Linked DNA regions of Saccharomyces cerevisiae S288C. The protein of the gene in region 1 binds, or shares a complex with, the protein of each later gene. Each region holds a gene or a part of one and is shown in the gene's direction. Other genes may lie near its edges.

The links.
Region 2: the proteins of STU2 (region 1) and TUB1 are in contact, whole or in part, in a crystal structure (PDB 4U3J), measured with the Saccharomyces cerevisiae proteins. Residues at the interface, in NP_013146.1 of Saccharomyces cerevisiae: Asp513 (codon at 3,498), Thr514 (codon at 3,501), Gln515 (codon at 3,504), Pro516 (codon at 3,507), Arg519 (codon at 3,516), Phe523 (codon at 3,528), Asp546 (codon at 3,597), Leu548 (codon at 3,603), Lys549 (codon at 3,606), Lys551 (codon at 3,612), Lys552 (codon at 3,615); in NP_013625.1 of Saccharomyces cerevisiae: Tyr109 (codon at 2,214), Thr110 (codon at 2,217), Val410 (codon at 3,117), Gly411 (codon at 3,120), Glu412 (codon at 3,123), Gly413 (codon at 3,126), Met414 (codon at 3,129), Glu415 (codon at 3,132), Gly417 (codon at 3,138), Glu418 (codon at 3,141), Glu421 (codon at 3,150).

What each region holds. Positions count from the first base shown.
Region 1 is NC_001144.5:234,469-239,664, reverse strand, and holds STU2 (Stu2p), read left to right. Parts: upstream 1-1,961; coding exon 1,962-4,628; downstream 4,629-5,196. Other genes in the region: FRE8 (putative ferric-chelate reductase), read left to right, coding at 1-318; YLR046C (uncharacterized protein), read left to right, coding at 852-1,664.
Region 2 is NC_001145.3:97,379-101,173, reverse strand, and holds TUB1 (alpha-tubulin TUB1), read left to right. Parts: upstream 1-1,773; coding exon 1,774-1,798; intron 1,799-1,914; coding exon 1,915-3,233; downstream 3,234-3,795. Other genes in the region: YML083C (uncharacterized protein), read left to right, coding at 124-1,380. UniProt on the Saccharomyces cerevisiae protein: Tubulin is the major constituent of microtubules, a cylinder consisting of laterally associated linear protofilaments composed of alpha- and beta-tubulin heterodimers.

The sequences.
Region 1 (5,196 bases):
AAGATCATTGAGCCACCTGCCCAAGATCCTTGTTTAGAGGCGGCGCCTAAAAAGATCAGAATTCCCGCAGGTGTTAAAGTGTTCTTTGGCAGGCCTACACTTGGAGATAAGGATTATGAATGGTGTCTGCAAACCGAATGTGATGCAGAGACGGATTCTATTCAATGTTGCAGGTGGGCGAATCAAGGCAGAGACCATGCTGAATATTTGTCACAAGTATGGGTTCTCGCTGCAGGCCCTAGAGGCTTAATTGAAAGCACCAAAAGATGGGCGACAGATGGTGGTTTACACTTTCACGGAGAAAGTTTTGCATTATAAGAGTTGCAAGTTGGCTATTAGTTTATGAGGCTTGGAAAATTCACGTATTTGATGGTGGCATATCTATAATGTCCCGTTTTGCTCTTTAATCTTACTGTCAAAAAAGGGCCCTATGTACGATCTTTTCTAACTGATTTTTTCCGAGAAAAGTTCCGCAGGCTGATTTAGTTTTTTTCTGGTGGTTGTCAAGCCTCTCTCCACTTGGTGATAGTTGCGAAAAATGACAGCGGATATTAATGGATATTAGCGGGAATAAGCACATTTCCATATTGATTATTTGTATGTCTAGCAACTTATAAGATGAATTATAAAAGGCATATAAGTTCTTCTTGGTACTGAATACATGACACTCTCACTACTGTACTAGAGACTTATTGTCGATAAAAGAACTCAACTGCCTCAATAGGAATTTTTTTACTAAAGCAATCACTGATTATGAAGGTTTTTATGCATACAATCCTCACAAAGGTGCAGCGATTGCATTTGTCGTTCTGTTTGGCATTTTAATCCTTTCTGCCTTGGTGCAGATCATAATGGCAACACACACGAGCAAGAGACGTATTCATCGCTGGGAAAACAATGAGTTGTCAGAGGAAAATTCCACAATAATATACTTTCCTGCCCGCGGTTTGATGTGGACACATTTTCCTTTCGTTTTAGGGATTTGTTTAGAGTTCGTGGGTTATGTGTTGAAAATAGTCTTTATCAATAGCCCCTCGATTTCGACTTTCATTGCTCAATCGGTGCTTCTATTGATAGCACCTTCACTTTACGCCCTTAGTATTTTTATGTTGTTCAGCAAAATGGCACGTCTAATTCTTATGGAGGCATATATGTTAATTCCTGCGAAATTTAGTACAGTTTCTTTCGTAGTGGCAGATATGATTGGGCGTGTCCTACAGGCTGTAGGAGGTGGGTTGTTATCCTCATGGAACAGCAGGAATACTGGGCGTATCCTAATTATTGTGGGTCTTTTCATTCAGATATTTTGTTATACCTTTTTAACGTTCAGTCAACTTTTTCTTCACTATAAAATGAAGGCAACGCCTAGTAAAATTGTGCGGGATAGTAATGAATGGTTCCAGTACAATTTTATACTTTTAGCTGGGATATTGCTGGTTAATGGTAGAACCATTGTCAGAGTAGTACAATTTCTAATGGGCTTACAAAGCTATATAGGTCAGCACGAATGGTGCCTTTACGTTTTCGATACAGTTCTAATGTTTTTACTACCTTTGATTTTCCTAGCAACCTTTCGCGCAAGAAATTTGTTCAAGCTGCAGGATAAATCTGTCAATATTCAATTAAACAAATTATTAGACAAGGAATCTGTGTCTGAAGATTAAGTAGTCAAAAATTTATTAATTAAATAGTTGGATAATATTTGTGCTGGGCATTAGAAGTCAATCTTGTCTTTTCCTTTATATGGTGCAAAGATTATCATGGTTAACGAATCTATTTTTTTTCGTGTCGTTTTTGTTTTTGTTTTTGTTTTTGTTTTGTCTGCTTGACACTCCATAGGAAGAGTAAATGAAGAACCTACCAGACCTAGGGACCAAATAGCATTACTAAACTACAAAGAAACAGCTATCTTTACAGTGTAAAGTATTTTTGAGTTTTTATTAAAGAGTTTGAAGTTGACTATGTCAGGAGAAGAAGAAGTAGATTATACAACGTTACCCCTAGAAGAGCGATTAACGTACAAGTTATGGAAGGCACGTTTAGAAGCTTATAAGGAGTTAAACCAGCTTTTTAGAAACTCCGTTGGCGACATCAGTAGGGATGACAACATACAAATTTACTGGAGGGATCCTACATTATTTGCACAATATATAACTGATTCTAATGTGGTCGCTCAAGAACAAGCCATTGTTGCCTTGAATAGTTTAATAGATGCCTTTGCGTCATCGTCTTTGAAAAATGCACATAATATTACTTTAATATCAACATGGACACCATTGCTTGTGGAAAAGGGCTTAACGTCCTCAAGGGCTACAACGAAGACGCAGTCGATGAGCTGTATACTCTCACTATGTGGTCTTGATACATCTATTACGCAATCGGTGGAATTGGTAATACCCTTTTTCGAGAAAAAACTGCCAAAATTAATTGCTGCGGCAGCCAATTGTGTTTATGAGTTGATGGCTGCATTCGGGCTCACTAATGTGAACGTTCAAACGTTTCTACCAGAATTATTAAAGCACGTACCTCAACTAGCCGGTCATGGTGATAGAAACGTTCGATCACAAACGATGAATTTGATTGTCGAGATCTATAAGGTTACGGGCAACAATAGCGACTTGTTAGAGGAGATACTGTTTAAAAAATTAAAACCAATTCAAGTGAAAGATCTTCATAAATTGTTTGCAAAAGTTGGTGACGAGCCATCGTCATCGAAAATGTTATTCGAGTGGGAGAAAAGAGAATTGGAAAAGAAAAGAAGCCAAGAGGAGGAAGCCAGGAAAAGAAAGTCCATATTATCGAATGATGAGGGGGAATATCAGATAGATAAGGATGGAGATACATTGATGGGGATGGAAACGGATATGCCACCATCAAAACAGCAAAGTGGAGTTCAAATAGACACCTTCAGTATGCTACCGGAGGAGACGATCCTCGATAAACTGCCTAAGGACTTCCAGGAAAGGATAACGTCGTCCAAATGGAAAGATAGAGTGGAAGCGCTGGAAGAATTTTGGGATAGTGTTCTATCGCAGACTAAGAAGTTAAAAAGCACCTCGCAAAATTATTCCAACTTATTGGGGATATATGGCCATATTATCCAGAAAGATGCAAACATTCAAGCTGTTGCACTAGCCGCTCAATCAGTAGAATTAATCTGCGACAAACTAAAAACACCAGGCTTTTCCAAGGATTATGTTTCACTAGTCTTCACTCCCTTGTTAGACAGGACAAAGGAAAAGAAACCTTCTGTGATAGAGGCCATTAGGAAGGCATTATTAACCATCTGCAAGTATTACGATCCATTAGCCTCCAGTGGACGCAATGAAGATATGTTGAAAGATATTTTGGAGCATATGAAGCACAAGACACCTCAAATCAGAATGGAGTGTACGCAATTGTTTAATGCAAGCATGAAAGAAGAAAAAGATGGATACTCGACCCTGCAAAGATACTTGAAGGATGAAGTGGTACCAATTGTGATTCAGATCGTCAACGACACCCAACCTGCTATAAGAACTATTGGATTTGAGAGTTTCGCCATTCTAATTAAAATATTTGGCATGAATACCTTTGTGAAAACATTAGAGCACTTGGATAATTTGAAAAGGAAAAAAATTGAAGAAACGGTCAAAACTCTACCTAATTTCAGTATTGCAAGTGGTAGTACCCATAGCACTATTGAAACGAATAAACAAACTGGGCCAATGGAGAATAAATTTCTCCTGAAAAAAAGTTCTGTACTTCCCTCCAAGAGAGTGGCATCTTCACCGCTGAGAAATGATAACAAAAGTAAAGTGAACCCAATAGGGTCAGTAGCCTCCGCATCAAAACCATCAATGGTAGCTGCTAACAATAAATCGAGGGTCCTGTTGACGTCTAAGTCTTTGGCAACGCCAAAAAACGTAGTAGCTAATAGCACTGACAAGAATGAAAAGTTGATTGAAGAATACAAGTACAGACTGCAAAAACTACAAAATGATGAGATGATATGGACCAAAGAAAGACAAAGCCTATTGGAAAAGATGAATAATACAGAAAATTATAAGATCGAAATGATTAAAGAAAACGAAATGCTAAGAGAGCAACTAAAGGAAGCGCAGTCTAAATTGAACGAAAAGAACATTCAATTAAGATCCAAGGAGATTGATGTCAATAAGCTGTCTGATAGAGTACTGTCACTAGAAAACGAGCTTAGAAACATGGAGATCGAATTGGATAGAAATAAGAAAAGAAATGATACAAACTTGCAATCGATGGGTACGATTTCATCATACTCCATACCTTCTTCCACCGTGTCAAGCAACTATGGGGTAAAATCTTTATCTTCCGCTTTGCCATTTAAGGAGGAGGAAGATGTCAGAAGGAAAGAGGACGTCAACTATGAAAGAAGATCAAGCGAGTCCATCGGCGACCTGCCGCACCGCGTAAACTCTCTTAACATACGGCCGTACAGAAAAAACGGCACTGGAGTGAGCAGTGTCTCCGACGATTTGGATATCGATTTCAACGATAGTTTTGCCTCAGAAGAAAGTTATAAACGTGCCGCTGCAGTGACATCTACCCTAAAGGCCAGAATTGAAAAAATGAAGGCCAAATCAAGGCGGGAAGGGACAACCAGGACGTAAAGGGTAGCCTCCCCATAACATAAACTCAATAAAATATATAGTCTTCAACTTGAAAAAGGAACAAGCTCATGCAAAGAGGTGGTACCCGCACGCCGAAATGCATGCAAGTAACCTATTCAAAGTAATATCTCATACATGTTTCATGAGGGTAACAACATGCGACTGGGTGAGCATATGTTCCGCTGATGTGATGTGCAAGATAAACAAGCAAGGCAGAAACTAACTTCTTCTTCATGTAATAAACACACCCCGCGTTTATTTACCTATCTCTAAACTTCAACACCTTATATCATAACTAATATTTCTTGAGATAAGCACACTGCACCCATACCTTCCTTAAAAACGTAGCTTCCAGTTTTTGGTGGTTCCGGCTTCCTTCCCGATTCCGCCCGCTAAACGCATATTTTTGTTGCCTGGTGGCATTTGCAAAATGCATAACCTATGCATTTAAAAGATTATGTATGCTCTTCTGACTTTTCGTGTGATGAGGCTCGTGGAAAAAATGAATAATTTATGAATTTGAGAACAATTTTGTGTTGTTACGGTATTTTACTATGGAATAATCAAT
Region 2 (3,795 bases), on another chromosome or scaffold:
AGTAACATATGTATATAAAGACGAAAGATTGAACGCCATCGTGGAGAGGGTTTTCGTATGAAGGTGCCTTAAGTCTTGTGTAGAAGTAGTTCTTTAGTTAAGATAGAACCTGGTAAAGACTCAATGGACTATTTACATGTATATAACAACAACCAGGCGCACGTTCCCAGAACACCTCCAGGCAGGCAGTGCCTATCGCCCGTTCTGCCCCCAATCATATTGGCGTTAGATCAACAACATTCGCTGACATTTGGGTACTCCAGCCCCAGGTGCTTGCCAACACCCATATTGCCTTCTATGAGCACAAATACGCCCGTCCATTGGTCACAACAGGTTGTCACTATCCCTGTCGCTGTACGAAATCATGCCGCAATGATGCCTATTATCACACCTATGACCTCCCCAAGACCTCAGTTTGAAGCAACGGCTCCCTCACCCCCTTTGGCCCCGGTCGCCATAAAGCTGCCAGATTTGAAACTACCACCGTCGCCTGTGCCCAGCACAGTAGAGGACAGAGTTTCACATCCTATCCTGCCCAAAATTGTGATCGGGAATGGCGGCGGCCGTGATGTTGAGCGAGATAGTACCGAGGAATTAATTAGGAAGATTCCAAACTACATTGGTTGTGCAAAAACAAAGGCACAATTGAGCAAAGTTAGGTCTGGTAAACAACTAATTGCATGCGCACAGGAATATCACCATCCAGTAAACAAGGACGAGATCGAAAATATCAACAACATTCTAAACTTCAGGGACTTTATTTTCAAGCATCCAAAATCCTCCTTCGAGTTCCTATGTACCCTGTCGTTTGAGCAGTTCGTTAGAGTATATTCATTCATTAGTTTCATCTACAGGACAAAGAAAATCAATAAGAACAAGTACGAACTCGTTTGTGAGATGAATGTTCACGAGCAACTCAGCAATAAGCGTATACAAAGAACAAGGACTCCTGAAAAGTACAAAATACATTTGATCTGCGAGTCAAAACTCATACTGACCTTCAACCACTGTACGAAGACAGTAAAATTTGAGTCTATCAATGGCGGGCACTGCCATCCGATTTCAGCCAACCACATTATCAAGCCCTCCCTCTTCCTTACCCACTGCATTAATAAATGCTACCAGACCGTGTCAGACCCTACCGATTTGAAATTGGCATTGAGAGACGCCTTAGAAGCCCTTGATCATGAAAGGATAGGATTGTCTTTCTTAAAGAGGAGACATTTCAAGTGCTCACACCAAGCATCATCACTCTCGAATGCCAGCGCCACATTGAAGAAACAAGAAGATCATGACACATTTGGTGTACATACAGGAATAATTCATACGGCAAATTTCTTCATGTTTAATGCATCTAGCGATATATTCCAGAGGAACTAACATATATAAATATCTGTATCCTTCTTTAAGAAAACACAATTGCATACTTTTTCCATTATAACTGACTGTTTCAGATCCTGCAATAGAAAGTATTTTTTAAGTAATGAAATAGTGCTTCCATTGATAGTAAGTGAGTAATAAGACGATCGGAAACTATTAATATAAGTATAGTTTACATATATATATATATATATGTGCCAGACGATAATATCACCGTAGTTTCCGGCCGGGTTATGCCACGCGAAAACGCCTCGAGCCAAGGGAAAAACTAAACTACAAAACAAAACAAAACAAAACAAAAACATCTACTATATCGTTTTACCCAATTCAGTATATCCGTCTACAACAGTTCTCGCCACCCAAGATCTGTAAACTTACAACTGCAAACAAACAATGAGAGAAGTTATTAGTATTAATGGTATGTTCGATTTGCCCGTCCAGGCTAGATCTTTTTTTTGTTAGTTCATTTTGGCGTTTCATCTTTCATTACTAACTTCAACGCAAAATTTTTTTTTTTTTGATTTCTCTTTACAGTCGGTCAAGCTGGTTGTCAGATTGGTAATGCCTGTTGGGAATTATATTCCCTTGAGCACGGTATTAAGCCGGATGGACATCTAGAAGATGGCCTTTCAAAGCCGAAGGGAGGAGAAGAGGGTTTCTCCACGTTTTTCCATGAAACCGGCTACGGTAAGTTCGTTCCAAGGGCTATTTACGTGGATTTAGAGCCCAACGTTATTGACGAAGTCCGTAACGGTCCTTACAAGGACTTGTTCCATCCAGAACAGTTGATCAGTGGTAAGGAGGACGCGGCTAATAATTATGCAAGAGGCCATTACACCGTTGGTAGAGAAATTTTGGGCGATGTTCTGGATAGGATTAGAAAACTGGCAGACCAATGTGATGGGTTACAAGGGTTCTTGTTTACCCATTCTCTTGGTGGTGGTACTGGTTCCGGTCTAGGGTCCTTACTGTTGGAAGAACTATCCGCTGAATACGGTAAGAAATCCAAGCTGGAATTTGCCGTATACCCTGCTCCACAAGTGTCTACTTCTGTGGTTGAGCCTTACAACACAGTTTTAACTACACATACTACATTGGAACATGCAGATTGTACTTTCATGGTCGATAATGAGGCTATTTACGACATGTGCAAAAGAAACTTGGATATCCCAAGACCAAGCTTTGCAAACTTAAACAACCTAATTGCTCAAGTGGTATCATCTGTTACAGCATCATTGAGATTCGACGGTTCATTAAATGTAGATTTGAACGAATTTCAAACCAATTTGGTTCCATATCCAAGAATTCATTTCCCCTTAGTTTCATATTCTCCAGTCTTATCCAAATCAAAGGCATTCCATGAGTCCAACTCTGTGTCAGAAATTACAAACGCTTGTTTTGAACCTGGTAACCAGATGGTCAAGTGTGATCCAAGAGATGGTAAATACATGGCTACTTGTCTGTTATACAGGGGTGATGTGGTAACAAGAGATGTTCAAAGAGCTGTCGAGCAGGTGAAAAACAAGAAGACCGTCCAATTGGTTGATTGGTGTCCAACTGGTTTCAAGATCGGTATTTGCTACGAACCTCCAACTGCCACACCAAACTCACAATTGGCCACTGTGGATAGGGCCGTCTGTATGTTGTCAAATACCACATCCATTGCTGAGGCTTGGAAGAGAATCGATAGAAAATTCGATTTAATGTATGCCAAACGTGCTTTCGTCCACTGGTATGTCGGTGAAGGTATGGAAGAAGGTGAATTCACCGAAGCTAGAGAAGATTTGGCTGCTTTAGAAAGAGATTACATCGAAGTGGGTGCCGACTCATACGCTGAGGAAGAGGAATTTTAAGGTTCACTCTCGCCCCCAACCTCCTTATCCTTTCTATATTTCAAGTATATTGTAAAAAAAAAAATTCCCCCTACTGTTATATCTCTTTGGTGATATCTTATCTATAATCTACTTATTATATTTCTCTAATATCTATGTACAAAAAATAAAAAAAAAAACCATTCTCCTTCTCTAACCTGCATTTGATGAAAGCTTAGTAAGTCTCATCGTAGTTGATGGGCCAAAGACATTTGTACTTGTTTCATCAGATTCTTACATCACCCATTTCCATGATTATTTCACGGATTTCATTAGTAATTGCATTTTTGTATCCCTAGTTCCTTTTCTCCCGCCTTGCCGTCGAATTGAAAAAAAAAATGGAAATGAGGACATCTTCCATTGATATCCAGGACAAAGCAAGAGTAGAAGTAACTATTAGCAAGGAGAATTCCAAAAATAGTGAACTTCAAGGTAAGCAGATCTATAGTTTCAATATCTGATTTTCTGCTTTTCAAAACTTAAAATTCATTAGAAGGTAAAACAAGAACCCGTAAAATTAAAGTTACCGATATTATCAGGTTTT